Medicago truncatula: one gene and its partners. The protein of the gene in region 1 binds, or shares a complex with, the protein of each later gene. Links are inferred from orthologs where the notes say so. Each region holds a gene or a part of one and is shown in the gene's direction. Other genes may lie near its edges. The genes, in order: pheophytinase, chloroplastic; 7-hydroxymethyl chlorophyll a reductase, chloroplastic; probable chlorophyll(ide) b reductase NYC1, chloroplastic; chlorophyll(ide) b reductase NOL, chloroplastic.

Region 1 (7,306 bases):
AGAAATGGTTAGACAAGTTTTTGGATCAAATTTGGGCATAGGGAAGTTAAAATTGAGATTTTGGGGGTGAAAAGTGAGTTTTTCCCGAGTTGCTCTCTGACAGCACGTCCTGTTTCATGTGTTTGCGTCTTTTTCACACGTTTCTGTTTTGAATTGGCCTTTGGTGTAAACATGAAAGTTGTAGATAATTGAGTTAGCTTTCCAGTGGCTTTGGTTTGATGTGAAAATGATTTTTGGCTCTTGAGATATGATGAAAATACTCCAAGGAGGTCTAAGTTAATCCAAAACTTAAGGAATAATTCCAAACCTCAAAACTAGAAGTACTATGAGTTCAACTAGGGTGTTTAAGAGTATTTAACCTATGTTGTGATAGATATAATTTGGTTTGACGTGAATATCTTTGTTGGATAATTTGAAATACATATATTATGTGAATGTTGTTGTTGAATAATTTGAGTTACATATATTTATGTGGAAAATGTATGATATAGAAAATAATGTTGTTATACCATTCAAGTTGTTATTATTAATGATGTTATGTTGTGAAGTTGTAGTATGTTGATGTTTCTGCTGTATTGATTATTAAATCATTAAGTTGCATATGTTGGTCAAGTTGTTAAAGTTGTAAGTTGTTGTCAATGTCGTTAAAGTTGTAAGTTGTTGTCAATGTCGTTAAAGTTGTAAGTTGTTGACGATGTCGTTGAAGTTGTTGGTTGTTGTTGCATTAGTTGTTGAGTCCATGCATACTCATTTACGTTGAAGGCTTGATGCTCTGTGAACTTTTGCTCTTTAAGTTGAGGGCTTGATGCCATGAGAGTGTATTTATGCTCAATACGTTGAGGGCTTGATGCCATGTGAGCTTTTGCTCTTTAAGTTTAGGGCTTGATGCCATGGGAGTGTATTTATGCTCAATATGTTGGGGGTTTGATGCCATGGTTGGTACCACATGCATGATTAAGAGGTTGTAGTTGCATTTTTTTGAGATGGTCTAAGATGAATAAGAAGTCTAAGTTGCATTGTTAAGTTGAAGTTGTGTCGTTGTTGTTAAGTTGCTATTTACCCATGTGTCGTTAACGAAGTGCTTATGATGATGATTATGATGTTGATTATGTTGTTATAAGATGAAGTTTATGATGTGTTGTTTATGTTGTTATAAGATGAAGTTTATGATGTGATGACTTATATTGTTATATGATGATGATTATGATTTGAATATTATGTTGATTGAACTTTGAAGGAAAATTAGTTAATTATTCCAATTATGTTTTAAGAAAAGAAGTGTGACATTCCGTTTATGATGAATACTCTGATTATTTAAATGGAAATTTTATGTTGGGAAAACGGGGTGTTATAACGATCCTATTATACTTATGTGTAAATAGTTTTATGAGATGTAAAAATCCTACATCATTCTTAAAAGCCAAACCAAACACCATTGAAAACTCAATTTTTCACTTTTGATAATTGTAGAATCACTTCTTGATGCTGAAAAGCCAAAACAAACAGGCTTAAGTGATAAATCGACTTCTGTTAAGAATAAATTGTTGAGCATCTTAACTAGACATATTTTAACACGTACTTTTACAATACACTTTACAATAAATTGTCTATACACTTTGATACGCACTTTACAATACACGTATTGTTGAGCATTTGAACTACATCTGAACTACAGATTATCAAAGCTTTCACCGTAAAAACTCTTGAATTTTTACTTGCTGTTTTGGAAAAAATGAGTACTAACATCACATTCTTTGACATACCTTTTTTTTTTAGGCAAAATAAAAATTATATTAAACAAAAAGAAAGATACAAAGATTGGGGGGCATGAGACCTGACCCAAGTACAATCTATACAGGAATACATCGTAATAAACCGTACCGAGAGGACCAGTCCTAATCTATTCTTACAAAAATTTACTAGTCACGGACGCAGCCCAACGAACCCGCGTACGGGCACGATACCGAGCTAAAAAAAAAAATGAAGAGTGAACTTTTGCAAAAACACAGTTAGGATTTAAAAAATATATTCTTTGACATACATTTTCAAACACTTTCATTTTTTATAATTACAATTTTAGTCCATCTATATTTACTATTTTGCAGAATTGTTCTCCATATTTAAAAAACTCATAATTTTGGCATATGATTTTGTTTAAAGAAGATAATTAGCTCACTCAAATTAACACCAGAGAGAATTTGTCGAAAAATAAATAAAAAATACCAGAGAGAATCGAAGTTGTGACCATGAGAAAGAACACACTCTAAGGTTACAAATCAATATCATCAGACTAACCCAAGTGGATTTGTCGTGATATATGATCTAGTGATGAAAATCAACATCAATTAAGTTTTAAAAAAATTCCTTAAAAATATCATTTTAAACATGTTATGTCACGATATATTAGACCAAATAATTGATGGGTGTATCAAAATTGTCAAATTTTAAAATAGGAGGATCAATTCTCCAAAATGGTGAAAATATGAGAATCCAATCCGCAATTAAGTCTAAAATTTACTACCTAGATCTTACTAAATTTTGTATGTCCCATATAAATTTGATTGGATGCGTTCAAAAATGTGTGTTGTAAGCTATGTTATTTTGAAAAACCTATTTATTGTCGTCTCAAAATATAAGCAAAAATGAATTAACATATGTTGATGTATTTGATACAAATTTTGGATCAAATACATTAATTATATAGGCGTAATTACCTTTTTGGTCCTCTAACTATTTAATTGGTATCAGATTGGTCCTCTAACTAAAAAATGATTTATTTCGGTCCTTTAAGTTTCTCACCGTTACTAAATTTAGTCCTTTTTGTTAGTTTTATTCAAATAAACGTTAGGGTTTATGCTATGTGGGCACTTGACCTCCTATTTCACACATACATATGAACCATAACAGTTACCAATAATATCAGTCACTATTTAATCATAATACCTTAACAAGGCATAGGACCAAAATGATACTAATAAATAAAGTTAGAGGACACACATAACAGAAACTCTAACGTTTATTTGAATAAAACTATCAAAAAGGACTAAATGTAGTAACGATGAGAAACTTAAAGGATCGAAATAAATTATTTTTTAGTTAGAGGATCAATCCGATACCAATTAAATAGTTAGAGGACTAAAAAGGTAATTAAGCCTAATTTTTATTGACCAATTTTTACTTATACTTTGGAATAGATGGAGTATGTCAAAATCACAATGATCGATAAATATATCAGAATTACAATGATCCATCATTATTTTCCAAAAACTACACTTTTTACCTTATGAAAAATCGTGGTGGATCATAGTGATTCTAACATCGGTAGCATTCTATCAATCATACACTTGAATTCCTACCATGTTGGACACGTGTGTACTATAAATCAAAACTAATGTGTGGCCAATATGAAATATTGGTGGTGGGTAGAACTTTGGCTCTGTCTAATTTTGTCCAAACTGCGTGCGTTGTGGGGATGATTCCTCTGTAGAAGACAAAACCAAACTTATCACATGTTTTCTCAGTTTGCAAGACAATTATATTTACCTAATAGAAGACTTAATATTCGAACATGGAAGCTAGTTTAATTTATTTTCTTTTTAAACTAATTTCTTAATCAACTAATTTAAAATATTAGGTTTCAGGATTTCTTCTTAACTAAATTAACAAAGTTCCTCATTTTAACTTAATTTCTTCATCCAACTCCATCAGCATAGTTATATATAATATATATTATATATAATCAGCTCCAAAAAAAACATGGTTAACTTTATATTAAAAAAAGTCGTAGTTAATTTAATCTCTTCATTTAACGAATACAAGGAATACTTAATCATCGCTCCACTATATAATTTTAGATTCAATATTTATATAAAAATAATAAAAAATTAAATTGGATATATCTTATACGCATAACTATAGAGATTAATCATTCGAATTAAATAAGTTGTAATAAATGAAAAATTTTATTAAATTTATGAACTTTGATTAAATTAAAAGAGAAATATTATCATCTCATCTAACTGTTTTTAGATAAATTTTTTCTTAAATTTAATTTAAAATTTAATAGACTTTTAAAATAAATTTTGTATAAGTCATCTAATATTATAGTAAGTCTTTTTTAGTTTAATAAACTATTTGACTTTTTTTATAATTATTATTAAAATGAAAAGAAAATAAATTATTATTTTTTAATAAATTGAAAATAAATTATATTTATCAGATGCATTTATTAAACAAAATTTTATAAATACCAAAAAAAAAGTGTGTAAGTGTGTATAAATTAAACTCATAAAAATATATTATTCGGTTTTTCTTGGCTCATAGAGGAAGTAGAATCTTCCAAGCAACTCTAAACTATTGTATATCTCTCTTTGGATCTGCTCTTAATCCTATAACAACTAATATATACCAGATTCTTTGAGTAGTTCTAGATTCTCATGCTTCTTCTTTCACTAAATTTAAGGTAATGTTTCCATAAACATGTTCATGTTTTTATTAATTATCACATGTTCATGTTTAATTGATGTTTGAAGAACTAATTTTTCTAGTTTCAATTATTTGTGTATGAAACACATATAATATTTGATTTGTTCTAAAAAAATTCATATTACTTTGTTCATGTTTTTGTGAAAATCAAGTTGAATTTTTAGCATACTGAATCATTTTCTGTTGTTGGTTTCTGTAGAACATAGTTGCTAAGAAATGGAAACTCTTTCATATGGTTCTGCACCATGTTGTCAAGTTATGAACACAAAGACAAAATCAGTTAAAAATAGTTCGAATTCAACTCAATCAAGGGTTTTTTATATTAGAAAAAATGGAGGTTTTTATATCAATAATCTTTACACAATTGGGTCATTGAGATTTTATGATAAGGGTAATCAACAAAGTGGGTTTAGGTCACAAAGTGTTTTTGAAGGCTCTAAAAGACTCAAATTTAAGGTTAATAGTGGAAGTTATGGTGATTATGTGATTAATGAAGGTGAAGGAAGAGATATTGTAGGGGTTGATGTACCTGCTTCAAAGGTTTTGATTCCTGGTTTACCGGATGAATCAAACGGTGAATCCGGTGCGGTTATACGTAGTTGTTTTAAGGGATGGAAACCTAAATTGAATGTTCATTATGAGAAAGCTGGTTGTGAAAATTTGGATTCTCCAAATGTTCTATTTTTGCCGGGTTTCGGTGTTGGTTCTTTTCATTATGAGAAGCAGTTGATGGATTTAGGTCGTGATTTTCGAGTTTGGGCGCTGGATTTTTTAGGACAAGGAATGTCTTTGCCTTTTGAAGATCCTGCTCCTTCGTCTAAGGAAGGAGGGGTTACATCGAGTGGAAATGTTTCGCCTTGGGGTTTTGGAGATGAAACTGAACCATGGGCGAATGAGCTTGTGTATTCGGTTGATTTATGGCAAGATCAAGTTCGGTACTTCATTGAAGAGGTAAATGACTTGCACTGTTTGGTAGCAGCAAATATTTAGTTATTTTAATCCATTGTTTGCTCAAATAGTATACTGGAAAATGTTCTTGGCAAATTTGCTTGTTCCTATGTGGTTTTAGATTTTTTTTCTAACAACTTATGCTGGATTATTGTCTAAAAAAGAAAATTCTGTTTGAATTGACTTATTTGAGATTATCTACTAGCATAAGCACTTGAGAGACTGTTTGGCAGAATTTATAAAAACAACTTATGACATATCTATAAACTGTTTTCAGCCTATTTCCCTAAGCTCTCTAGGATAGCTTATGAAACAGCTTATAGCTTATATGAATACAGTTTGAATCTATGCTATAAACGCTTAGTTAAGTTGTTTATCCAAACGAGGTTAGGTAAATCGATGTAGAAGTACTCTTGTATTCCATAAATAATGTTGTCTGTAATCATCAGCACTTTAATGCTTCCTATACTTATAATGCTTACTCAAATATGTAATGTTGCTGAACTTTTCTGCACTATCTTCAAAAATAATATTTGAGGAAGTTTTTATATCACTATAATCTAAATGTTATTATACAAATTCGTTTCAGGTCATCGGTGAACCGGTCTATATTGTAGGCAACTCACTAGGAGGATACGTTGCTTTATATTTTGCTGCATGCTATCCTCATTTAGTGAAAGGCGTGACATTGCTTAATGCAACACCTTTTTGGGGGTTTCTGCCAAATCCAGTAAAATCTCCTGGACTTGCCAAAGTATTTCCATGGGCCGGAACATTCCCTCTACCTTCAAATATAAAGAAACTTACAGAGTTGGTGTAAGTATGGCTTCATTTTTATTTATTGCTTCGTTTTTTTCTTAGTTCCTGATATGATTTAGTATTTTAGCTGCGAACTTCTGATTAGTACATTTCTTGTATGTCGCCAATATAGTCATTCATTTGCGAATATAATAGTTGATCATCTGAGTGATATTATACTGCTGATAGTACACCTCCAGGTGCCCTTTATCATATCTATTACATTTTACCTGATTCTTATTAATTTGTTTCCTTTAGGTGGGAGAAAATTAGTGATCCGAAAAGTATTGCCGATGTACTTAATCAGGTTTACGCAGATCATTCAATAAATGTGGATAACGTTTTTTCACGCATAATCGAAACCACAAGACATCCTGCTGCGGCAGCCTCATTTGCTTCAATTATGTTTGCCCCCCAAGGGGAATTATCCTTCAGCGAAACATTATCAAGGTAGACACGACTAAATCTTTAACTAGTATTAGATATACGTGATACACATGTTAATGGTTTTTGCGGTGTGTATGTTTTAGATGTCGAGCGAACAAGGTGCCGATTTGCCTCATGTATGGAAAAGAAGATCCTTGGGTGACACCTATATGGGGACTTCAGGTTAAAAGGAAGGTTCCTGAAGCACCATATTATCAAATCAGCCCTGCTGGTCACTGCCCTCATGATGAAGTCCCTGAGGTATGCAATTCCTGACCTATTAACTTGAACAATTCTTTCTGTTCTTGCTTCTTTTTAAGTGCAATATATGTTAAGAGCCGCACATTGGATACGAGTTAGGCCTGAAAATGAATTTGTAAGTTGGAGGCATCCCTCATCTTACAAGCTAATTCTGTAGGGTTATGTTAAGCGGTTAAGCTCAGCTGTAATTCTTAGATCATAAAAGAGTTTATGCAAGATCTGTTGGGCCACCTGCTATTGAGTCTATGAAGCACAGACACTCCTCGGATTAGGCGTGTTCCGATGCCGGACACGTGTTGTGTCTGACACCGACACATAATTACACTGAATTATGTGATTTTCTCAAATTATTAGCAATGTCAGTGTCCATGTCGTGACTAGTGTCCGT
Region 2 (6,904 bases), on another chromosome or scaffold:
CCTTAATGGAATATCCCCCCACATAAACTTTATCCCAAGAGGAATACGTTCGACTATCATACAAAATCTTTACCATTCATTAAGTGAACCAATTCGAGTAGCATCGACTCACTTCTTCAAAGCGATACTCATTTCCACCGTGGGAGGGAGCTGACAACATGCAACCCCCTCTCTCCATAAGTAGTCGAGATATGAATAACATCATTCGTAGCACAAATGATATCTCTCCATATGATTGCATCTCCATAGAGGAGTCTCCGACACCACTTCCCCATCATATCTTGGTGAACCAGCCTCTGATCTCAAATCCCAAGACCATCCCCCTTTCGACTTAGGCCGACACACATCCTCGAAGCAAACCCAAGATATCCCAGTGCCCCCTGTTCTACCCTCCCTAAACGAAGCATCTCTCTAGCCAAACTTTCCTCTTCCATTCCTTGACATGGATCTTAATTAACGAGAGGTAGAAGATTTCAATTGAATGAAGCATAAAGTTAATTAAGACCACCCTCCCACCCAAATTAACAAACCTATCACTCCATGAACGTACACTCTTAGCAATAAGCTTAACATCAGGTTCAAATGTCCATTCTTTACTAGGATATGCCCCGACAGGCACACTTAAATACTTGAAAAGAATATACCTCACTCTACAATGGAGGAAGCTAAGATAAATTTAATGTTGATTTCGTATTTGAAGACAATAAAAAATATATTGAAAAAAGAATAACAACTTTAGTAAAAAAAATAATAAAGAATAACAATCATATCTAAAAAATTGTAAATGATCTTTATATGCGGGGATAAATTAGCATACCCCATAGTCTTTAATATGATAATTTTTATAAAAAGAAACTAATATTAATGAACTTATTTAATGTTATAAAATCGATAATTTTCTAAAAAAATATCCTTAACATCTTTGTTACTGCTAACTTGTGTCGGTTTTGGATTTTCGATTGGTTTATGACTTGATTTTAAGTTGTCCTTGTTTTGGGGAAGTTTTCAAGCTAAGCCTTTTTTCGATCTGGTTCTGTTTAGGTTACCACTCTATTTGAAGATTGTTCGAAGGATTATTTCCTAGGTTTTGGTGGGTCGATTGTTCTTGCTTCAGGATTGAGAGTTAGTGTCTATGTCCAATTATTTAGGTTGATTATAGAGTCTTCTCCGGTAGGATGGGAGTTGTGGGGGTGCCTTAGTGATTTGTCTATAGTATATGGTGGGTCAATCGCTTTTGATTCAAGATTCATAATCAATTTTTTGACTCAATTTTTTTGCCTTGTTATGGTGTGTTCTCTGACGGACCGGAGGTCGAATGTAGGTAGAACCTGAAGGATTGTTGGAGTAAGCCTTTTCTTTGGTGTTTAATCGAGCTCAATTGTGGAGATGAGAAGATGATGTTCTGTTTTCGAGGGTTTTGATTGGTTGGATGGCTTGTTTGAAGCGTTATGGTGAGTAGTGGACAATATATGCTTGAATTTTGTTTATGTTGTCATTCGCGAGGAAGTGTGGGGTCTTGATTTGACTTAAGTGTTGACTTTGATTTTTGGTGGTTATTTTTCTTATTGGTGTTGGTGGTAGCACTGAGTTTGGTGTTATGGTTTTTTTTTTTTTTCCTCGATGTTCCATCTATATAAGACTTCTTGTTTTGTAGTTTTAGTTCATGTTTTTCTTCTGCAGAGACTTGATTGTTAAACGTTGTTGTTTCAAAAAGAAAAATATTCACTTTGTTGAAAATAGTTTCATTTTCTTAAAATAAAAGCAAATCCTTAAAGAATATTATTGTTACAGTTTTACTTTTAACCATGTTCATGTACAATTTTAATCTTGAATTTATATATTATTTATTAGCAAAATTATATAATTTTTTTTATATATTTTTATATCAGTCATTAAGATAAATAGAACATAATTTTTCTTCAATTTTTTTTTTTTTTTTTTCATTTTACACACTACTTCCGTTGAAAATAATTGTTGCAGTTTGACCATGTACACTACTTACGTAACTTACTTTGATCATATTTATTATTAATATATAAAGAATAATGTTAATAAATAAAATATTGTTTTATTCTCATAGTAAAGATTTTTAAAATATAAATTTTAATGATTTTTGCTAATAAATTATTTAAGATATTAATGGTCAAAATTATGCATTGACATATATAAAAATTAAAATTGTAACAATTATTTCAAGATAAAGGGAGCACCATTGTTCTTTGTATATTAGTAAATAAAAATGATCAAAGTAAATAACTCGTTAACAAGACCCATATTTTAAATGATCAAAATCTAATACTTAGTTTGAGATGGAGTAGTAGTTAGTTTTATATTCCTTTCGTCTCTTATTATAAGTCTCTTTGACTAATTTCACATATTAAGAAAAGTAGGTAGTGTAGATAATATATCAAATTTGTGTGTGAATTTTACTAAATTGTCCTTTGTTTATGTGTATTTAATTTTCCTTTTTATATTCCAATGCAATTTAGTTGTATTAATTAGGGATATATTTAGGAAAAAATAATAAATGCATCTAATAATTTGTATAAGCCTTATATTTAGACAAGACTTTTTTCAAAGAGAGCTTATAATTACGGATTGTTGGAGTAATTAAAGACAAAGGAAATTAGTACACATGATCAAACTCTAACACTTTGTGCGGAAAAGAAATTTTTTGTATGGTATATTTTTTCTTTTTGTTAACCTTCGATTTTCTAGTAAAAGTTGTCTAGTAATTTGAAGTGCGTTCGAGAGTAATTTAAGTTTGGTCGATTATTATTTCATCTAGGAATCAAACTTATGTTCTTTGGAACAAATTGTCTTTTTGTAGAGTCGATTAACCACTTTTTTTAAGCAAGTTCATTAACCACTTGAGTTTAATTGTTTGATTAAAATTTTCGTATGGTATTAAAAATTAAAATTAAAACTATTGATTTATTTTTCAGTTGATCAAATTATATTTTCGTTCTCTTAACTTAATTTGCACATATATTTTCAAATTGTAAATATATAACCTTCTTCGTAGGGGAATTACTCATCAGGATGACACCTCTTGCATTGGGGGGGGCGGTTGTTCTGAGACTGCGGCTCATCTCATTCTTCATTGTGACGTCTTCGGTTCAGTGTGGCACTATGTTTATCGGTGGGTAGGCATTTCTTTTATTGCTCCAGCTACAGTTGGTGACCACTTTCAGCACTTTGGACAGTTGGCAGGTTTGTCGAGGTCTGCTAATTCTTTTCTAACAGTAATCTGGCATGCTTGTGTTTGGGTTATATGGAAGGAAAGAAATAACAAGATTTTTCAGCAAAAGTCATTGACTTCGGATCGTTTATCAGAAAGGGTCAAGATTATGTCTTTTAATTGGCTTAAGGCAAATATGCCCAGCTTCGCCTTCAGTTATAATGACTGGGGACAACATCCTTATTATGCATGGGGTGTGCTGGTGTAGCTTTTTGTCTATTTATTACGCTGTACCTTTTGAGTTAAGACTGTACCAAACTTTGTTTTGTTGGGTGTTCTCTTTTGCACATTTTGTGCAAGATGAATCACCTTTGATAAGTTAATATATTTCATTTTGGCTTATTCAAAACAAAAATTCATATATAACGGAAATGAAAAACCATAGATTTAAAGATTGAGAGAACATAAAAAAATGAAACCATAAATTTTAAACATGAAATCCATATGAAAATAAATCAAAAAGGAAATAATAAAATAAAATAAATAAATAATTAAATTATTATCTAAAATTTTGTTAAAAGACCAAAATGTTATTGTGCCTTTTTTGAATTTTATTACATTAGAAATCCTCTTCTTCTTAACTTTGTTGTGTGGAACAGAAAAAGCCACATCATCATCAGTGTTCACTCACTCACTCAGCTGAACTGAGTTTACTGCTAAGCAATGTCTTCTCTCTCTTCGCTACCTCTTTCTCTCTCTATTCGTGCTTCTTCTTCATCACAAGGTAAAGTACTACCTACCAGCTCTTCTTTTTCTCTGCATGCTATGAAGCACTCTTACGGACACATGAGACTTACACACGGACACCGATAATAATTTGATAAAATCACATAATTCAATGTAATTATATGTGTAAGCGTGTCCGTATCAGGGACATGCCTAATTTGACGAACGTCCGTGCTTCATAGTGTGCATGCAACCTTCCTTCACTTCTCTTTTCTCATATCAGTCTTACCCTTCTTGTTTTGGTAGCAGAATCCTCCATTTCAAAACAGGACTGGAGGAAAAGGTCAAAACCTATCCCACCAGGTGGAACCTACCCAGCTAAAGATCAATGCAGTCGTTGTGGATTGTGTGATACATATTATATTGCTCATGTTAAGAATGCTTGTGCTTTCTTGGGAGATGGAATGTCTAAAATTGAAGTAAGTCTCTTTAATTTATGAATGATGCTTATCTATGTCATGTAAATTTTACTCTTCAAATTGGTTAAAAAAATTTGTTTTTTGTTTTTGAAACTTTTATGTGATATGAAAGGACTTTTTAATATTGTTTGTAATTGTTAGCATTATGTCAGATGTAGGGATCAAGTTGATTTTGTAAGGCTGAGTTAGTCTTAATATAAAAAAAATAATATGGTAGCAGAGCTATTCATTTGGGTCATCCGATATCGACTTGGGTTGGTCTGATGGTGTTAACGTGAGACCTTGGAGTATGCTCCTCGTTAAGGTCCCAGTTTCGATTATCTTCGGTGCCAATTTGGGTGGGCTAGTTTAGTTACTTCAAAAAAAAAAAAAAGTTATCCAAGCATTAGGTCCAATAGTACTGGGCATGAAGAGGCCAGTGTTGTAATGATGAGTTAGGCCAAGTGTAAAACATAGTAGGACTTGAAACTGAAAGAGAAAAGGAGAGGAACCCTTTTCTTCTCCGACTTGAGTTTTATGTTCGCTTATTTCACAAAGTTACTAACAAAGTGATGATTTTTGGGAACAAAGCTGTGTTGCTTAGCCACATTAATATCAAATCAATTAGTTTGCACCTAGTGGAAATAATCAATAAGCAGCCATTCTAGTGTAGAAGAATCTGGCATTTGAACTAGATTTACTTTTTCAACAAAAATGGTTCACTTCTATTGAATGATTACTTGTCAGGACTATGTTAATGTTAGTACACTTTGTTGCACAAAGCTGATAAGGAATTATATCAAATTGAAATTTCAATATGCAGCAGTTATTTCTTTGTGACTTCAGCATTAAATTAAACTTCATTTATTGTATGCCTAATTCAAGCATTGCCTTAATATTCTTATAAGCATTAATCATGAGAATTTTCATAACTGATATAAATATATCCAGAAAATGACAAAGTTTATACAAACCAAAATTGATTGGACTCTTTATCATTCCTTTTCTGTTTCAGAAATTGGAACCTGTTGTTCATGGTAGAGGGAGAAAAACTGATACCTTAGACGAGACATACTTAGGTGTCTTTGAGGAACTTCTGTATGCTCGGAAACTTAACCCTGTCGAAGGTATATTCTGACTTTAAAATTGTTTAACTCTTATGCTTCCTCGTTCTAATGAGTATGACACTATCAAATTCGAGAATCTTTGAGTGCAGTGTATTTATTGCGCTCAAGTTTTAGAGTTCAAACTATAATTTTGTTATGCTGATAAATAAGCATTTAAAATTATTCTGTTCTGCTTTTTTAGTGGGACCTCTTGGCTATTCTTTACCTTTTAAGAAGCATTTTTTCAATGGTTTCTCTGATATGTGACATTGGTAGGTAATCCCTTTGTGGGTATTTAGATAATTGAATAGTTAGGCTGACTATAAATACTAAATAGGGAGGACAGATCAGCTTGTCATTTGAAAGAATACGGGCCTTTTGACATTGAAAGGTGGGAAAACCCTCAAAGCTCTGCCACTATTCTATAAACCAGGAAATTGTTCCCCATTTTTTGTTGCAAGACCAGTTTGTTCCTAGCATACTTTGATGGCCTCCTAAATTTATTTAGGATCATAGAAATTAAGATCACACCGAAATGTTTCATTGATATAACTATTTCTGTTTCCTTTAGTATTTAGTTTGGAGTAAGGCTTCAATGTCAATGTCTAACGCCTAGTTTGGATAAACAACATAATTAAGCGCTTATAATATAAGTTATGTATAAGCTTTTTCTATAACAAAACGATAAAATAAAGTCAAGCTGATTTCATATAAGCTATAAGTTGTTTTCATATGCTATCATGGAGAGGTTATAGAAACAACTTATAGCTTATGGATACTTCATAAACTGTTTCTATAAGTTCTTAGCAGTTTCGCAAGTTTGTATTCTAGTAGTTAAGCTTAAATTAATCAATGCAAAGAGGCCCTCATTGAGCTTTTGGACAGACCAGAAGCTTAACTGTAATTTAAGATTGGAAAACATTATATAGCACGACACATGGTTGTTGTCAAATGCACACGACGTGTATTCTGCCAACAGCTATTTCAGTTTTTTAAAATTATTTTAATCAAAATTTAATTTAAACCAAGATGATGATGCCATGTAAACAGTCGTACCTGTCGTGTGTGGATTTTGTCGTGCACAATAGCACAGCTCTTTAAGAATTACTTGTCTTGTACAATGAAATTGTGTTTCGAAATGTCCTGCAGTTGCAACTAATTTCTTGATTAAATTATTTATACAATTATGTCTATGATGGGCATAGTCATGTTATCAAAGTTCTGATGAACAGTTTTACTTGTAAAATTCGTTCTGTTCATAGGAGCTCAATGGACTGGTATAGTAACAACCATTGCAATTGAAATGCTTAAATCAGGCATGGTTGAAGCTGTTATCTGTGTACAAAGGTATCATAAAAAATCTACATGTTTTTATTGGAGTCATATTTCTAGTGTCTTTTCGTTCTTTAATCTGACTTTATTTTCTGTGTAAT
Region 3 (7,787 bases), on another chromosome or scaffold:
AAATAACATATCTAGGTACACTTACAAAACCTAATGTTAATAGTGAGATATAACCTAAAATCAATTCAAAATTGATCAGAACTTGAAAAGCATTAAGAACAACATATATATATATATATATATATATATATATATATATATATATATATATATATATATCACATAAACATATCTTGAATCATATTAAAAAAGGACCCATAGATCAGTCATTCAAAATCTATTAGAGTTTAAATACACATGATAACAGTAACGAGCAACATAATTCAAAAGGTAAAAGATAAACACATCAACAATGGTGTAGATGTTCCAACTTGTTTCCAAGCCCTAAAAAAGTGCCACCTTAGGGTTGTTGGATCTCACCTTAAGCTTCAGAGCCGTCAAAATTTGGATCCCTAGTTTTATAAACTAGGGTTATATAGAAATCTTCCAAGCCGCACATACGCTGAAGGTGGGTGCATAACACAAGAATGTGGGGGTTGAGTTATGTTTATGGGTTTCTAAACTTTTTTACTTTTTTTTTGAACAAGTCAAAACTTTTTTACTTATAAACCATTACCACTAACCCCAAAAAATCATTACCCCTGAGGTAGCTTGTCGACAGAAGGTTAAATGCAATAGTTCTTTATTAACACTTAATTTTGTGTCAAAACAATAGAGACATGATGAAGTTAAACCATAAATAATTTGACCTAAGAAAAAAGACAAACAATATATATATAGAGAGAGATACACGACACATCAAATTTATCTTGGTTCACCATCAACCTTATTGGCTAGTACAGTCACCCTTTTCAAAGTGGTTTTCACACTCATCATTTATCCGGTTAGCCAACCATGATGAGTTACCCAACAATGATCATGACTTAGACCAATCTACTCCATCATCTCACACACATGAGGACCGATGTATAGAGTTTTTGCAGATTATTCCTAGTGTTTTGAGGCTCAGCAAACTTTTACAAGATTGCCACTACTAGGCATGGTACATACAATATTTAAGTTTGTACCTTAAGGATACAAAGTCATGGCTAAGAGGACAACTCTCTATGATGAATACGAATCTAGAACGAAATCGATAGGAAAAAATTAAGAAATTGAAAATGAACCAGAAACGGTGAGAAAGTAAGAGAAAACGAAGGAAAAATGATTATTAAAAAAATAAATTGAGAAAAGGAAAATTTAAAAGAGAGAAAATGAAAATTGAGGAAATTAAATTTGCTCTGATATCATATTATGAAACGTATGAAATATAGAAAAGATAAAGAGAAACTTCTTAAAACTCTTATCTATTGGTCAAAGTTGAGATGTTACAAATGAAAAATTACATTCTAATAATGTAGAGATTTAAAATGAGGCTTTGTAATCTCAACCATCTATTTTTTATTCAATGATTGACAATTATTCTCATCATTCTCATTTAAGATACTCGTTCTCATAGTATATGTCTTCTCTCGTAACCAAAAATATTATATGTCGTCTCTATATATATATATATATATAACACTCATGATTTGAAACCAAATCTAAGCTAATGCATACAAAATGTTGGAACAAGTATATATCTCAACCAACTCATTTGAACTAACTTCATAGCCCACACACCCAAGTTACAGCTAGACTATTATGGACTCATTGCATGTTTTTCTTCCCCCTAACTTAATTGTTTTGACTAACTTCAATGATTTAAAATAAGAAATCCTTAAATATTGACATCCATACATTTCCTTAACTTTAATAATATTTAGTGTCTAAATTATATTAGTTATTATGAATTGGTTTATTGTTCCATCTTCCCCTAACTTGCTGCTAATTAAACCACAGTTTGTTCATGCTTTTTGTCCCTAAACTTGATGAAAACTTAATTTATCAGCTTATTTACTTTTGAGGGACAAAAATGTTTTTCTTATTTTGAGAAGGACTAAAACGAGCTTCTCATATTTATATGTGAGACTAAAATGAGATTTTCTTATTTTTAATTATAATAGATGATAGTAATATTTGCATTTAAATGGAACAAAACAAACATTGTTTGTAAGGCCAATGTCAAATGGAAATACCGATATCGTTAGACCTAACGTTTTTCGTGGCTATCCGAATTCGAATCCAGAATCATCCTTTGATGTGCGTAAAATCACTTTATCTGGAGGGAAAAAAAACCATCATAATCCCTATCCATCATTACCATCAAATTCAAAGTGCATAACATTATCAAACTCAATAGCACCCGCAAGTCTAACACACAATGGTCAAATAAATGCAACTTCAAAATCCAAAATATTATGGTAACACCAAAATACAACCAACGAAACATGTAGAAAATCTAAAACACAATCCAACTAGTAAAAACTAGAAAGAAGCAGCAAGAAGATGTTATTTTTTTAAAGTTAGAAATTTTAAAATAAACTATGTGATTTGAAGGGATTTAAAAATATGGTGACCAAATTGTCCCCAAATATATTTTTAGGGACCAAAATATCTCAATTCATTTTAAATATACGTGGTCAACCACATGACAGGAATTTTTTTTTTAGGGAATGACAAGAAATTGATAATATTCCCTCAAAAAAAGAAATTGATAGAACAACTAATATTAGTTTTTTTTTTTTCCTTAAAAAAAAAAAAACTAATGTGTCGTTAAAAAAATTTAAGATGAAATTTACTTTATCCTACAGACGAGAAACTACTTTTGCTTTTGAAATATACTAGAAAACCCTAGGGGGGCGTTTGTTTGACGGTTTAAAATTTCATTCCTGGGATTAACCTTTCCTGGGAAATAATAATGGGCATCTTATTCCTGAGTATTTTTAGAAAATTGTGTTTGGTAAATAATTGTCAGATTCATGGGAATTGTTTGTGATAGTGGGTATATGGGTAGTTATTTCCATTTTAGTACCATTTACATGGGAATCTTTTATTCCCGCCCACTTTCTTTGGGAGTAAAATCATGGGTAAGTGGAAGTTATTTTTTTCCTAGGAATTCTTTATTTTCGGGAGTTATTTTTTTAACTTTGTAACAAACATAGGAATCTATAATTCCAACCTCCATATTCCTGGGAATAATTTTTTAAACCAGGAAACAAACACCCCCTAGATATTTATTTTATTGCAGAAAACTCTAAATTTGACCGTAAAATAAAAAGTAGATTTGAACCCAAATCTAAGCCAAGCTATTTACATACACAATTTGTTTTTTTCAACTAAAATAGATACAAAATGTTGGAACAAATATCTCACGCAAGTTGATTGTTTGAACTAACTCTATCTCCCTGGCTCCCAAGTTGGAACAAATAAATATCTCACGTAAATCTTAAAATATATAGTCAAAGGTTTAATTCTTTATGTATGTATGAAAAAAATCCGATTAAGAGAGTAAAACCCAATTTATTTACCCCATACATTCTTTAACGGAGATTAATCACTAATAAACATCGATGAAAACTTGCTACAAATTTCATTGTAAAAGAAAACCATCAGACTACATTTGTGCTAGATTATGAATTCTTCCCCAACGAACGAAAAAGCTAGATTATATATTCATTAACATGCATTTCTTCCCCTAACTTTATCGTTTAACTAACTTTTTTGCCAAAAAAGAAGAAAACAAACAAACTTCAATAATTGGCCATGTATTAAAAATGCTTAAAAAATAACATCCATGCATTTCCTTAACCTTAAAATTTCAAAGGCCTAACTTATATCCTTCTCTTTTCTCTAAACTAAGACAACTTTAACTAACTTTTTTGTCAATAAAAAACAAAACTAATCAACTAACTTCAATAGTTGGCCATGATTTAAAAAATAAAATATAAAAGTGCTTAAAATATGACATACATGTATTCCCTAACCCTTAATAAAATTAATTGCCTAACTTTATATCTTTTCTTTTCTTAATCTAAAATAATTTATTTTGAATTAAATGAGTTATGATAAATCGTTCGAAAGAATTCAAATTATATTTTTAACTGGAATAATTTTTTAATCAAATTTTATTTATCTATCGATTGAATTTTAGACTATTAGGGTGTGTTTGATTTGTAGAACAGTAAGTATTGGACATAACAGTACAAGATAGGACAACACAATATAAGGCAGAACAGCACAATACAAATTTTTATGGTATTGAATAATTTTCTGTATTATTTGATTTTTGGGTGACGAAATGTTATTTTTGTATTTTAGAAAACTTGTACGTGAGACAAAAGGTTGTGCTGTGGTTTGGCGATGGACAAAAATTGCAGCTTTTGTCATGTCCCTTGCCTCCAGTTTGTCATGTCCCTGAAACTGTTTTACAAATCAAACACTGGACAATTGGAGTTGTTTTGTCATGTCCTTCATTTTTTATCAAATCAAACGCACCCTAGACTTTCTTTTTATCAAATAATTTTGTGGTTGAAGCTCGCACATTTTAAACGTGGAGAAATAAGGTTGAAGCTCACACATTTTAAATATGGAAAAATAAGTTCACACATTCTAATAATTGAACTAAGCTCATAGAGATTATTGAACTCTCTTCGTAGAAGCGAACGATTAACATGAAAAAACAATAATTTACTTTCAATAATAATCTATCTAAGTCTAAGAAAAATCCAAAAGAAAAAGTGTTCATTTTTCACCTCACACTAACAAAAGAAAAAAGTGACGTGTCTAAAGACCCACAATGCCACGTGTCCATAACCGATAATGATGAGGTTTCTTAACGTGTGGTCATCACATTCCATAATGTTCCTTCTTACGTTACTATTATGTTACATTTTTCCAATGAATCGGTGTTACTCAGTTAGATATTTTCGCAACACACAAAATTACAAAAACATAGTTATCAATTCTCACCAAAATCACAACAATAAATAAACCAAACATGTTACATGAATTCAACACATTTATGTACCAATAATATTGTAACATTTTTATGAACTTTTTATCTTAAACATGGCTACTACAATTGTTAAGCTTCAAGTTTTTCCAGAGTGTAATTTGAATAAGCATAAGCTTAGAAATGGATTTGGTAGCTCAAATTCTTCATCTGGGGTGTTTGGTTTTGGACAAAATTTTGGTGGGTTGTGTTTGAAAAAGTGTAGGGCTTTCAAGAGTGAAGATGGTGGTGATGTGAAGGAGAAAAAGTTGAGAAATTTGAAGAAAAATGAAGTGAAAGTTCAAAGGGAAAATGGGTTTTGGAGTAATTTTAGAAATGTTTTGTTGGGAAATTTTATGATGGGTTCTAAGTTGGATGATGAGTATAGACAAGCTGTTGTTAGGGTTGATGAAGTTCTATCTAAGGTGAGTTCTTGTTTTTGATGTTTTATCATTTTTTAATCTGTTTGGATAATTAATTGTTTCATATAGCATAAGCACTTATCATATATGTATTTATGTACTAGTTGTTTGTTAGGGTTGATGAGGTTCTATCATTCTTGATTCTGTTTGGATTACCAACTTAATTGAGTGGTTTTAGCATATAAGTGCTTATGGATACGCTATTTCTATAACAAAAGATAAAATTAAGTGTTTATCTATAACTTGTTTTCATATGTTATCTTGGAGAGTTTGGAAACTTATGTATAGCTTATTTCTATTACAAAAGATAAAATAAGTGCTTATCCATAAGTTGTTTTCTTAAATTATCTCGGAGAGTTGCAGGAAATAAGTTGAAAATAGCTTACAGAAATAAGTTAAAAATAAGCTGAAAACAGAAGTTGTTTTCATAAATTATTCCAACCAAACAGTCTCACAAGTACTTGGTGTCACAAGTGCTTATTCTAGTAGATAAGCTCAAATAAGCAAATCCAAAAAGGCTCTTGCTGTGTTGTGTTATTTCCACTTAATTTTTACTTTCAATTTTGTGTTGTATTGTATTTTGAATGTTGAATATAACCGTGTTCTTGTATTTGTGAAAACAAGATTGCTGTTCAGATTGGGAGATATATTGTGACCATGATGAGCACTGGTGTCATCCTTGCAATTGGATTTCAGATGTCAGGTTGGTATATATATTCTACTTTCCTATTTTAGAATGTGTATTGAAAATATTTGCACTTATAGTCGAGTTTCCAACTATAGTGTAAACAAGTTTTACACTAACGTTCAATCATACCTCATATCATATATGATGTTGATTTTTTGGAAATTTTGTGAAGGTGGAGATAGTCAGATGGATGCACTGATATGGTATAGTTGGCTTGGAGGAGTTATCATTGGGACAATGATAGGTGCTAACTGGGTGTTGGAGGATTATTGTCGCGAAGGTCCGCGTAATGTTGTCATAACTGGAAGGTACGTTCACTCACTGATAGTATTCTAGAAATTGATTTCCAACATTTTTAGCTTTATTTGGATGCATGTTTAAAAAAAATTAATGCTGACATTGCTTTATTTGTGTGCAGTACGAGGGGATTGGGGAAAGCTTTGGCGCGGGAGTTTCTTCTTTCGGGAGATCGTGTGATTGTTACTTCACGAAGGTGGTATCACAAACTATGAGAACATTTTATAGAGATCAAATTAATATATTTTGTTGCTCACAACGTGTTTTTGCTCCCGCTCTCGAATTTTGTGAAGGCAGCCCTGAGTCTGTGCAAGCAACTGTCAAAGAGCTTGAGGAAAATCTAAAGGAAGGCATTGCCAATGCAGTTGGTTCATCTTTGACAAAGCTTTCTCAAGCAAAAGTTGTAGGCATTGCTTGTGATGTTTGTGAGGCTAATGATGTTCAGAGATTGGCAAACTTTGCTGTCAGCGAACTTGGTTATATTGACATTTGGGTAAGTGTGGCTGTTCTTTCTGTTGAGAACTATGTAGCTCTGACACTTGAGATTGAATGTGTCTTTGACACTTGACACGTGTCGGCATTAGACGCCAACAAGATACTGACACACGTGGTTACATTCAATCACTTTCATTTTCTTAAATAATATTTTTACAAGTGTCAGCGTGTCAGTATTAGTATCTTGCTCGGTGTCTGTGTCAGTGTTTCATAGATTGAGCATCATTGAGCTAATGAACCCTACTATCGATTTTGTTATCACTTCAATGAAAGTTTTATATTGGATTCCTTATTTCTTGCTGAGTGTGGTTTCTGCTTTTTGGTCCTAATCTAATTTTTCGTATTGTATTTTTATTCAAACTACTCAACAGATAAACAATGCTGGAACAAATAAAGGTTTTAGACCATTGCTTCAATTCAGCGATGAAGATATCAAACAGGTATGTTGCTACATAATTTCTTTTTTATTTTGTTAGAATATAAAGGCTGTTCATCTTCATCCTTAGCTTGAAAAGTTGGTTTATTTCTGTAGATTGTCTCGACAAATTTGGTTGGTTCTATCCTTTGTACCCGAGAAGCCATGCGTATTATGAGAAACCAAACCAAGCCAGGCCACATATTTAATATGGACGGTGCAGGTTCTGGAGGCTCTAGCACACCTCTGACAGCCGTGTGAGTATTCTCTTGATATTGTTGTTTCTTATCTTGGGATGTTAATTCCACTGAGCTTTTGCGATTTAAGGGCTTGTTTACTTTTTCATGATTCCTGTTTTCATTTTTACTTCAACTAATAAACATGATAGAATATAGATTCAATACTCTTCTCACCATTTCCTTTTACAGTTGTTAAAAACAGATTCAACATTTTTTAAGAAATTTTGAAGATGCCAAAAATTGTTTTTGCTGTTTCTCAAAATGCATTCTCCCTAACTATCCTTCTATCTTCTCTCTATCACATATATTCACTACATCAGTCTTCTACCACGTTGTTAGCAATTTAAAATGAACACAAATTTAAGTTAATGAAAATACA
Region 4 (7,490 bases), on another chromosome or scaffold:
TATATGATTTTTTTTTTTATGATTTTATCCAGAATTCAGTGAATGCAAGGTACCAGACTATTCCCTACCCATGGTTGGTTTTTGGGGAGAAAGTAAAGGTCAATGCTGTTTTCATCCGCGATTCCACTGGTGTGTCTGATTCAATACTTATCCTATTTGGTGGTGCTTTAAGTAATGGGATACAGGTGATTTCTTTGTATATATTTTTCTTCCATTAGAAAGATAAGGATCCAAATATTTCAGTACAATAACTTGCCCTTGTTTTTTCCTCCCTGATGGGTTTAGGCCGGGCATCTGAAAATGTTAGATGGATATGTTGACTTCTTTCTGGATCCTAATTTAGCTGACTGCTATTTGAAGCTTAAGGACGAACTTGATAAGCTTATCCAAAAGAAGGTTTGCATATTTTTGTTGTTGTAATTGTATTCCTTCTTTCTTCTTCAAAAAAAAAATTGTATTCCTTCTTTACTTGTCAATACAAAACAATGCTGAATGATAATGGATTTTATAATAATGCAGCTAGAAGATCCAGGCATTGACATTCACAAGGAAGGGAAGTATTTGATGCTTGCTGTTCAAGAATTGGTTTCAGGGGATCAGTGTGAAGGAAGATTTGTGTTTGGTCGTGACAGCCGGAAGCCTAAGGCCTCTAACGACGAGAATAAATTCACTAAAGATGGAACAAACCCCAAGAGCTTGCTGCAAACACTTTTGATGCGAGCAGGGCACTCCGCACCAAAATATAAAACAAAACATCTGAAGACAAATGAGTTCAGGGCATTGGTAGAGTTTAAAGGAATGCAATTTGTTGGCAAACCGAAAAGGAATAAGCAACTTGCAGAAAGGGATGCAGCTATAGAGGCATTAGCTTGGTTAACTCACACCTCTGACAATGCTCAGCCTGAAGACGATAAATCTCCTCCTGATGTCACTGACAACATGTTAAAACTCCTAGGGAAGCGTAGAAAATCATCGAAACGACGTTCTGATTGAATTATTATCAATTGATCGTTTTTTAGGTTAGTTTACCCATTCTGGTGTCCTACATGAGTTTCTCCTAGGCATTATTTAGTGGCTCCTGATTTCGTTATTCTCATTTTCTCCCTTTTTTGAATTTGAAAGGGCATCCAGTTTTGGCATTTGGTTTGCACTTGAAAGGTTGATTGAATGAATATCTTAGTCGTCTCCTTCAAGCCAAATCCAAAATATTTTGTAACCATTATGTACACTAATGTTTATATTTTTTATTTATATATGGTAGGTACAGTTTTGGCAGTTACTTATATAATTTGTACCGGGTCATCATCTTATAGATGCAATAAGTCGTCTCCCTTTTTTGTTTAATATTGCTAGATGAGATATGTAACATCTGTTTTGTACTGGGTAATATTGAGTCAAGAAAACAAAGACATAAAATGATGAAATAACCTCTAAAAAAATGATAAAAGAAATTGAAAAAAAAAATGTTGGTTCAATTTTTAGTGAACTCTCCAATTGTTTCGAATGCGACCAGACCTCACAATAGTTTTGTGCTATGCTGCTCTGATAAGTCAGCTAGCATGAACCAAGGTAACTTGTGCTTCGACATCAAAGAATGCTGTAACTCTACGGTCCGATGACATCAAAGCATGCAAAATTTTTTAGAGAAACTAAAAGTTGAAGGAAAATTTTAGAGGGATTAAAACGAAAAGTTAATATATTTATAGGGACCAAAAACATATTTAACCCTTAATCTTATTCTTTCAAATAATATAACCTATGTGGGCCATTTAATAATTATAAACAAACAAAAATTGTACATAAGCGTATCAATTGACAACTGCTTTCCCAATTCCATTTCGCATGGCATCGTTTAATTGATTTCTTGTCTTTACATTGCACATTGAATTGAAGTAGCAGAGGAGGGATTAAATTACATCAAAATAATATTACATCAAAATCGTTTTACTTGATTCATATTTGTCAATACATTTATGCACAATTTGGTAAAATAAAATACATAAGTTGATTTAAAAATATGGTGAGGAGGGGGGCCGGCTGAAGGAGGGGGTAGATTTGGTTCGCCTTGGTGGCGGATGCTTTGTAATATCCGCGGGGGGGGTTGGAGAGGGTGCAGGAAATTGGTTTGAAGGTAATGTCCGTCGGGTTGTGGGAGATGGTTCTACTACCTTATTTTGGTTTGATAAATGGGTTGGAGAAATGCCTTTGCGATTTAAATTTCCTCGACTTTTTGACTTGGCTGTAAATAAGGAGTGTATGGTGGCGGAGATGGAGAGGGAGGGGTGGGAGGTGGATGGTCGGGCGTGGTTGTGGAGACGTCGTCTGTTTGCTTGGGAGGAGGAGTGTGTGCGGGAGTGCTCCATATTATTACATAACGTTGTTTTGCAGGTTAATGTTACCGATAAATGGTGTTGGGCACTTGATACTACTCATGGTTACACTGTACGAGAGGCGTATCGATTTGTTGCTAATAATGGTCATCAGGTGGATAGGAGCTTCGTTGACAATGTGTGGCATAAGTCTATTCCGACAAAGGTTTCGTTGTTTGTTTGGAGTTTGCTTCGTAATCGACTTCCGACTCGTGACAATCTTTTACGACGAAATATTCTTCATCCGGCAGCGGTCTCTTGCACGGCTGGTTGTGACGTGACGGAAACAGCGCGCCACCTTGAGTTACATGATCATCACAAGCATTTCTGTTTCATGGCGGGACTTCCTAGATGCACTCATGTTTTTATGCAAGGAATTTGGTATTCTTGCGCTTGGGTTATTTGGCAGAATCGGAACAAATGCATTTTTCAAAACGAGCCTTTCGATTCTCACGGTTTACTAGACAATGTTAAGCGTTATTCATTTTTTTGGATGAAAGCAAATTTTAAATACTGTAGTTTTAACTGGTATGATTGGTGGACTCACCCGCTTCTTTGTATGGGGGTCCTTTATTGAATTATTGTGATTTGTGGTAGGGTGGTGCCTGTGTTTGGGCATTTTGTACTTGTAAATATTTTTCGAAATTCCACTTTTTGCACGCCTTGTGCGGGGTGTTATAGCCGGTGTTATTAATATATATCATTTTAGCTTGTGCTAAAAAAAAAAAAATATGGACCAAAAGTTGTGATTGTAAATTTCATAGAGACTCAAATGAAAAGTGTATATTTATAGTGACAAAAAAATAAATTTAACACTATATGTAATTAGAGTAAAGTAGGGGAATTCAAAATCACAAATCTATCGAAAAAGATCGAAAACAACACAAAACTGCCAAATTTGAATTTGTATCGAACCAAACCGAATCACATACATAAATATCAATACTTATTTTTCAATTACAATAATATATCGCTTTAATCTATTATTTGTTGTTTTCTTTGAGTAAAAACTTAGAAGTTAACTATTATTATTTTACTATTTCAAACATTAACTATTATTATCATTCATAATTGTTATTTTTTTAGTATAGTATAAGTTATTTTTTGCATCAAACCATTGATTTTATCATAAATTTAAAATATTATTTTCAATAGATGTTTTCACGAAATTGTAATTTGAATATTCAAAATCCAATCAAAATTATTCCGCATAAAATTGGGTTGGATCGGAGTTTTTAAGAAGTCATCCAAGCCGAACCGCATTACGACTATTTAAATTATTTGAATCGAACGAATTTTTGGTCCATAACTGATTCAAACCGCACTACAAACACCCCTAGATAATAATATTTGTATCATTTTTTTTTCTTTTTGATGGTTAAATTTAGGTTAGGTCCCTCCATGTTTCTTTGTATTTTCTGTATTATTTTATATTATTTAACCCTAGTTTAAATAAAGGTAAATTCTTATTTACAAATGAACAAAACTGAGTGGAGATGACACATATGAATTATTATCAATTGACTCCAATCAAAATAATTAATTTGTCTTTCACTATTATGTTATACATCCTTAAAAAAAATAAAAAATAAAACTATTATGTTATCCAGTAAAACATTGAAGACAAATAAATAATTTTCATTGGTGTCAACTTAGATGAATAATCATATCCTCCTTTATTAATATAATTGTCATCTTAAAAGGTATAATCGAAAAGAAAATCAAACTATCATTATACATAAACAAAGAAAATGTTAACAAATGTTTTTTGATAAAAAAGTTTAAACTAACTTTTTTTTATGATTTATACATTCAAAACATAAAAACTAACTTTTTGTAAAAAATAACTTTTAAAACGTCATAAATAATACTTATTATTCTTTTTTTTATCAAGTAGTCTAGTGGCTAAATGAATAAGTAGGATGTCCGGAGTTCGAACACCGACCCCTGCACATATTGTGCATTATCCCTTAACAAATGAGTTAGCTGATGGGGACTAAACAATACTTATTAATAATCAAAATTTGAATGATTTTATCCGCAAAAATAAAAAGAGTAAATAGAAGAAAATTGGAAGTGTTGAGGCTGTAGCAGTGAATTGGCATGGCATCATCAATGGCTTCCTTTCAATTGCTTTCTTCTCATCAGCTTTGCATCTCTCCCTTCTCTCGTCTGCCTAAATTCAACACGACATTTACTTCCTGCACCCCCAACAGCAACAATAATAACCGCTTCTCTCTTTCTCTCACTAAACCAACTTCTTCATCCTTTCTCATCATAACAGCTTCTTCTAACGACAATACCATGCTTCCTCCTTATAACGTTTTGATTACTGGCTCAACCAAAGGTCTTTTCTTTTTGGATAATTTAAATTTATTTGTATTTATTCTTTGATGGTTGAATGAAAGTGTTAGTATTCAGTGAGTGGTAAAATCTTGATATGTACATGGTTATATCCTATTCAGATGTAAAATAGTTGAGATAAGATTAGAAATGGCAATATTAGATTAAGAGTTCAGGTAACAATTTAAGTCTGTTTTGGATTGTTTTATTTTTTAGCTTATGCAAAACAATTTTTGCAAATAAATAAGCTTGTATGTATTATTCATAAGTTTGTCTAAGGTAGTTCATGAAAAAACAGCTTATGAAGATACAATTTTCGTTAGTGATAACTTATGAATCAATATAAAAGTTTATTTATTTGCATAAGCTATTTTGAATAAGCTCAAAATTAAGTCAATCCAAACAGAAACTTAGTGTATGTTTGGTTCTACTTCTAAAGAGGCCAAATTTGATTTTAAGTTGTAGAATTGATTCAGACATGATTGGATGCTATCGAGTAGAATTGATTTTGCCTTCAGAGTTGATTGTATTTGAAGCTAGAATTTGTAGTTTTTAATTTTAGAATTGATTTTTAAACACAAATTTATTGTTCAAATCACTTTTACATGAATGTATTCAAACACAAATCATTTTACCTTCAACTCACTTTTAGTCTGAATCAATTCTTGTCACCGTAGAACCAAACATACACTAGAGAGAAAACCTGTAGATCTTGTAGTAAGGAGAGTATATTAGATGAAGGGTAGTGAAATCACTAGATGCACGGGAAAACTTAGAAAAACTATAAGAGAAACGATTAAGAAGGATATAAAGATTAATGAGTTGGACTGAAATATAGTTTATAGTTTGATCCATGTAGCCGACCCAATTTAGTGGGATTAGGCTTCGTTGTTGTTGTAACTTGTAAGTTTTGCTTGCACTTTAGTTGCTCATTTTCAACAATTACCTTGAATCATATTTACCTTATGATTTAGGGATAGGGTATGCTTTGGCGAAAGAGTTTCTAAAAGCAGGAGATAACGTTTTAGTTTGCTCAAGATCAGGTGTGGATAACTTCTTGGATTTTCATTATGTTTCAACTATGCATTTGTTTATTTGTTCATGCTATATACTTCAATATCACTTCAAGTTATATGTATATCACTCTGCTATCGATTCATCAATGATTGATCTTTCTGTTAATCTTTCCCTTGGTTCCTTTGGATAAATTATCAATTTAGTTCCTAAACTATCCAAATATAATAAATAGTTCGTAAAGTATATAGAATCCGTCAATTTCGTCTTTGATCGTAAGATATTTGGTGCTAAATTCACAGTTTCCCGTTTCCATATACTTTAGGAAGTAAACTTACGAATTTTATATTCTATATGAACTACCTTTTTTTTCATAGTTTAGGGACTAAATTGAATGCTGGTTTTATTTTCTTTCTATTTAAGTTATGGGTTTTAGGAAAAAAAGGGAGAAGAATGAAAACAAATATGATTTCGGTGTAATACGATTGATAATGATTTGATACTAACTTGGTATAAAAATATAAGCACCAATCACTTTTGTGTTATTGTTTGTCTCAATTTACCTTGTGAATTATGACTGAGTGGTTGGGATTTCACAGTCTTGTTTATCTCATTTCCATGACTTTGTTTTTGTTTTCTCTATATACCTTGGTATTCATTTATAGATGAAAGGGTAGAGACTGCAGTCAAGAGCTTGAGAGAAGAATTTGGGGAGCAGCATGTGTGGGTACCTCCTCTTGAACTTCTATCTTAGTAGAAACCCATCTACGATAAATATATCACTCGTTTTTATGTTCTCATGTTCGCATTTTGTTTCTTGCAGGGCACTACATGTGATGTGAAAAATGGAGAGGATGTGAAGAAACTAGTTTCGTTTGCTAAAGAAAAACTGAAATACATTGATATATGGGTACTAATGTCTGATTTCTTTTTCCCATTGAAATTTTTATTTTGCAATATGAGTAGAAACTTTTTGCGAGGATTTAATTGGTTCTCATTGATAAACTCATGGTTTGATTGATCTACTATGTAAGCTGACGATCTTAGCGAAATTCTGGCCATCTTATTTTCGTAGTTAGATTCACAATCATCATCACTTACACTTAGCATCAGCGATTTTCCTTCCTTCTCCCCTTTCCCTTCAATTCTTACACTGTTTATAATTTGAAATTGTCTCGTAGCTATATCATTGTTGTCAATTATGGCCATGGTGGATCGTGGTGGAGGGTTTTTTGATAACAGCCATGGCCAATTTGTTACAGATTGCTGCACCATGGCGTTTTATGGTGAATATGGTCGCTTAGAGTGATGAATTTTTGGCTTTCCACCATTATCCACCATCCGCATTTGATAACACAAAGCTATACCAATATTTCATTTGTTTTAACTCCCTAATCTTATTGAATGTGTTTGTTAAAATATACTTTACTAATTCTTTTCTTTCTCGGCCTATGCTGAGAATGGTGTAGATCAATAATGCTGGATCAAATGCGTATAGCTACAAGCCACTTGCCGAAGCATCAGATGAGGATCTTATGTGAGTCACTAGACCTTGCACCCTAAATATCATTCTTACATTTTATTTCTTTGAAATTCTTAATTCTGTGCATGCAGTGAGGTGGTTACAACAAACACACTTGGCTTGATGATATGCTGTCGAGAGGTAAAATATATTCTCATGTAAGAGGCACTGTAAATAAAGTAGGTGCTCTGTTATGCATGGATGTTTAGTTTCTATTTAGGCAATAAAGATGATGGTGGGCC

Evidence for each region.
Region 2: pheophytinase, chloroplastic (region 1) and 7-hydroxymethyl chlorophyll a reductase, chloroplastic share a complex: the UniProt entries of both Arabidopsis thaliana proteins name them as parts of the SGR1-CCE-LHCII complex. The link is inferred for Medicago truncatula from reciprocal best matches to the Arabidopsis thaliana genes PPH and HCAR.
Region 3: pheophytinase, chloroplastic (region 1) and probable chlorophyll(ide) b reductase NYC1, chloroplastic share a complex: the UniProt entries of both Arabidopsis thaliana proteins name them as parts of the SGR1-CCE-LHCII complex. The link is inferred for Medicago truncatula from reciprocal best matches to the Arabidopsis thaliana genes PPH and NYC1.
Region 4: pheophytinase, chloroplastic (region 1) and chlorophyll(ide) b reductase NOL, chloroplastic share a complex: the UniProt entries of both Arabidopsis thaliana proteins name them as parts of the SGR1-CCE-LHCII complex. The link is inferred for Medicago truncatula from reciprocal best matches to the Arabidopsis thaliana genes PPH and NOL.

What each region holds. Positions count from the first base shown.
Region 1 is NC_053044.1:11,853,806-11,861,111, reverse strand, and holds the start of pheophytinase, chloroplastic, read left to right. Parts: upstream 1-4,300; 5' UTR 4,301-4,462; intron 4,463-4,684; 5' UTR 4,685-4,701; coding exon 4,702-5,436; intron 5,437-6,022; coding exon 6,023-6,249; intron 6,250-6,489; coding exon 6,490-6,681; intron 6,682-6,761; coding exon 6,762-6,918; intron 6,919-7,306. UniProt on the Arabidopsis thaliana protein: Alpha/beta hydrolase dephytylating specifically the Mg-free chlorophyll pigment (pheophytin), yielding pheophorbide. No activity on chlorophyll. Belongs to the chlorophyll catabolic enzymes (CCEs).
Region 2 is NC_053042.1:17,899,658-17,906,561, reverse strand, and holds the start of 7-hydroxymethyl chlorophyll a reductase, chloroplastic, read left to right. Parts: upstream 1-3,904; coding exon 3,905-3,965; intron 3,966-4,216; coding exon 4,217-4,386; intron 4,387-5,380; coding exon 5,381-5,492; intron 5,493-6,733; coding exon 6,734-6,818; intron 6,819-6,904. UniProt on the Arabidopsis thaliana protein: Probable iron-sulfur flavoprotein that converts 7-hydroxymethyl chlorophyll a to chlorophyll a using ferredoxin as a reducing equivalent. Catalyzes the reduction of a hydroxymethyl group to a methyl group. Belongs to the chlorophyll catabolic enzymes (CCEs).
Region 3 is NC_053047.1:40,284,785-40,292,571, forward strand, and holds the start of probable chlorophyll(ide) b reductase NYC1, chloroplastic, read left to right. Parts: upstream 1-4,782; 5' UTR 4,783-4,929; coding exon 4,930-5,277; intron 5,278-5,898; coding exon 5,899-5,977; intron 5,978-6,134; coding exon 6,135-6,270; intron 6,271-6,380; coding exon 6,381-6,455; intron 6,456-6,556; coding exon 6,557-6,752; intron 6,753-7,125; coding exon 7,126-7,194; intron 7,195-7,286; coding exon 7,287-7,426; intron 7,427-7,787. UniProt on the Arabidopsis thaliana protein: Involved in chlorophyll b degradation. Belongs to the chlorophyll catabolic enzymes (CCEs).
Region 4 is NC_053049.1:16,823,064-16,830,553, reverse strand, and holds the start of chlorophyll(ide) b reductase NOL, chloroplastic, read left to right. Parts: upstream 1-4,472; coding exon 4,473-4,716; intron 4,717-5,686; coding exon 5,687-5,755; intron 5,756-6,391; coding exon 6,392-6,453; intron 6,454-6,549; coding exon 6,550-6,636; intron 6,637-7,195; coding exon 7,196-7,263; intron 7,264-7,340; coding exon 7,341-7,389; intron 7,390-7,468; coding exon 7,469-7,490. Other genes in the region: DExH-box ATP-dependent RNA helicase DExH3, read left to right, coding at 33-185, 286-396, 520-993. UniProt on the Arabidopsis thaliana protein: Required for chlorophyll b degradation. Chlorophyll b, chlorophyllide b, pheophorbide b and pheophytin b can be used as substrates. Belongs to the chlorophyll catabolic enzymes (CCEs).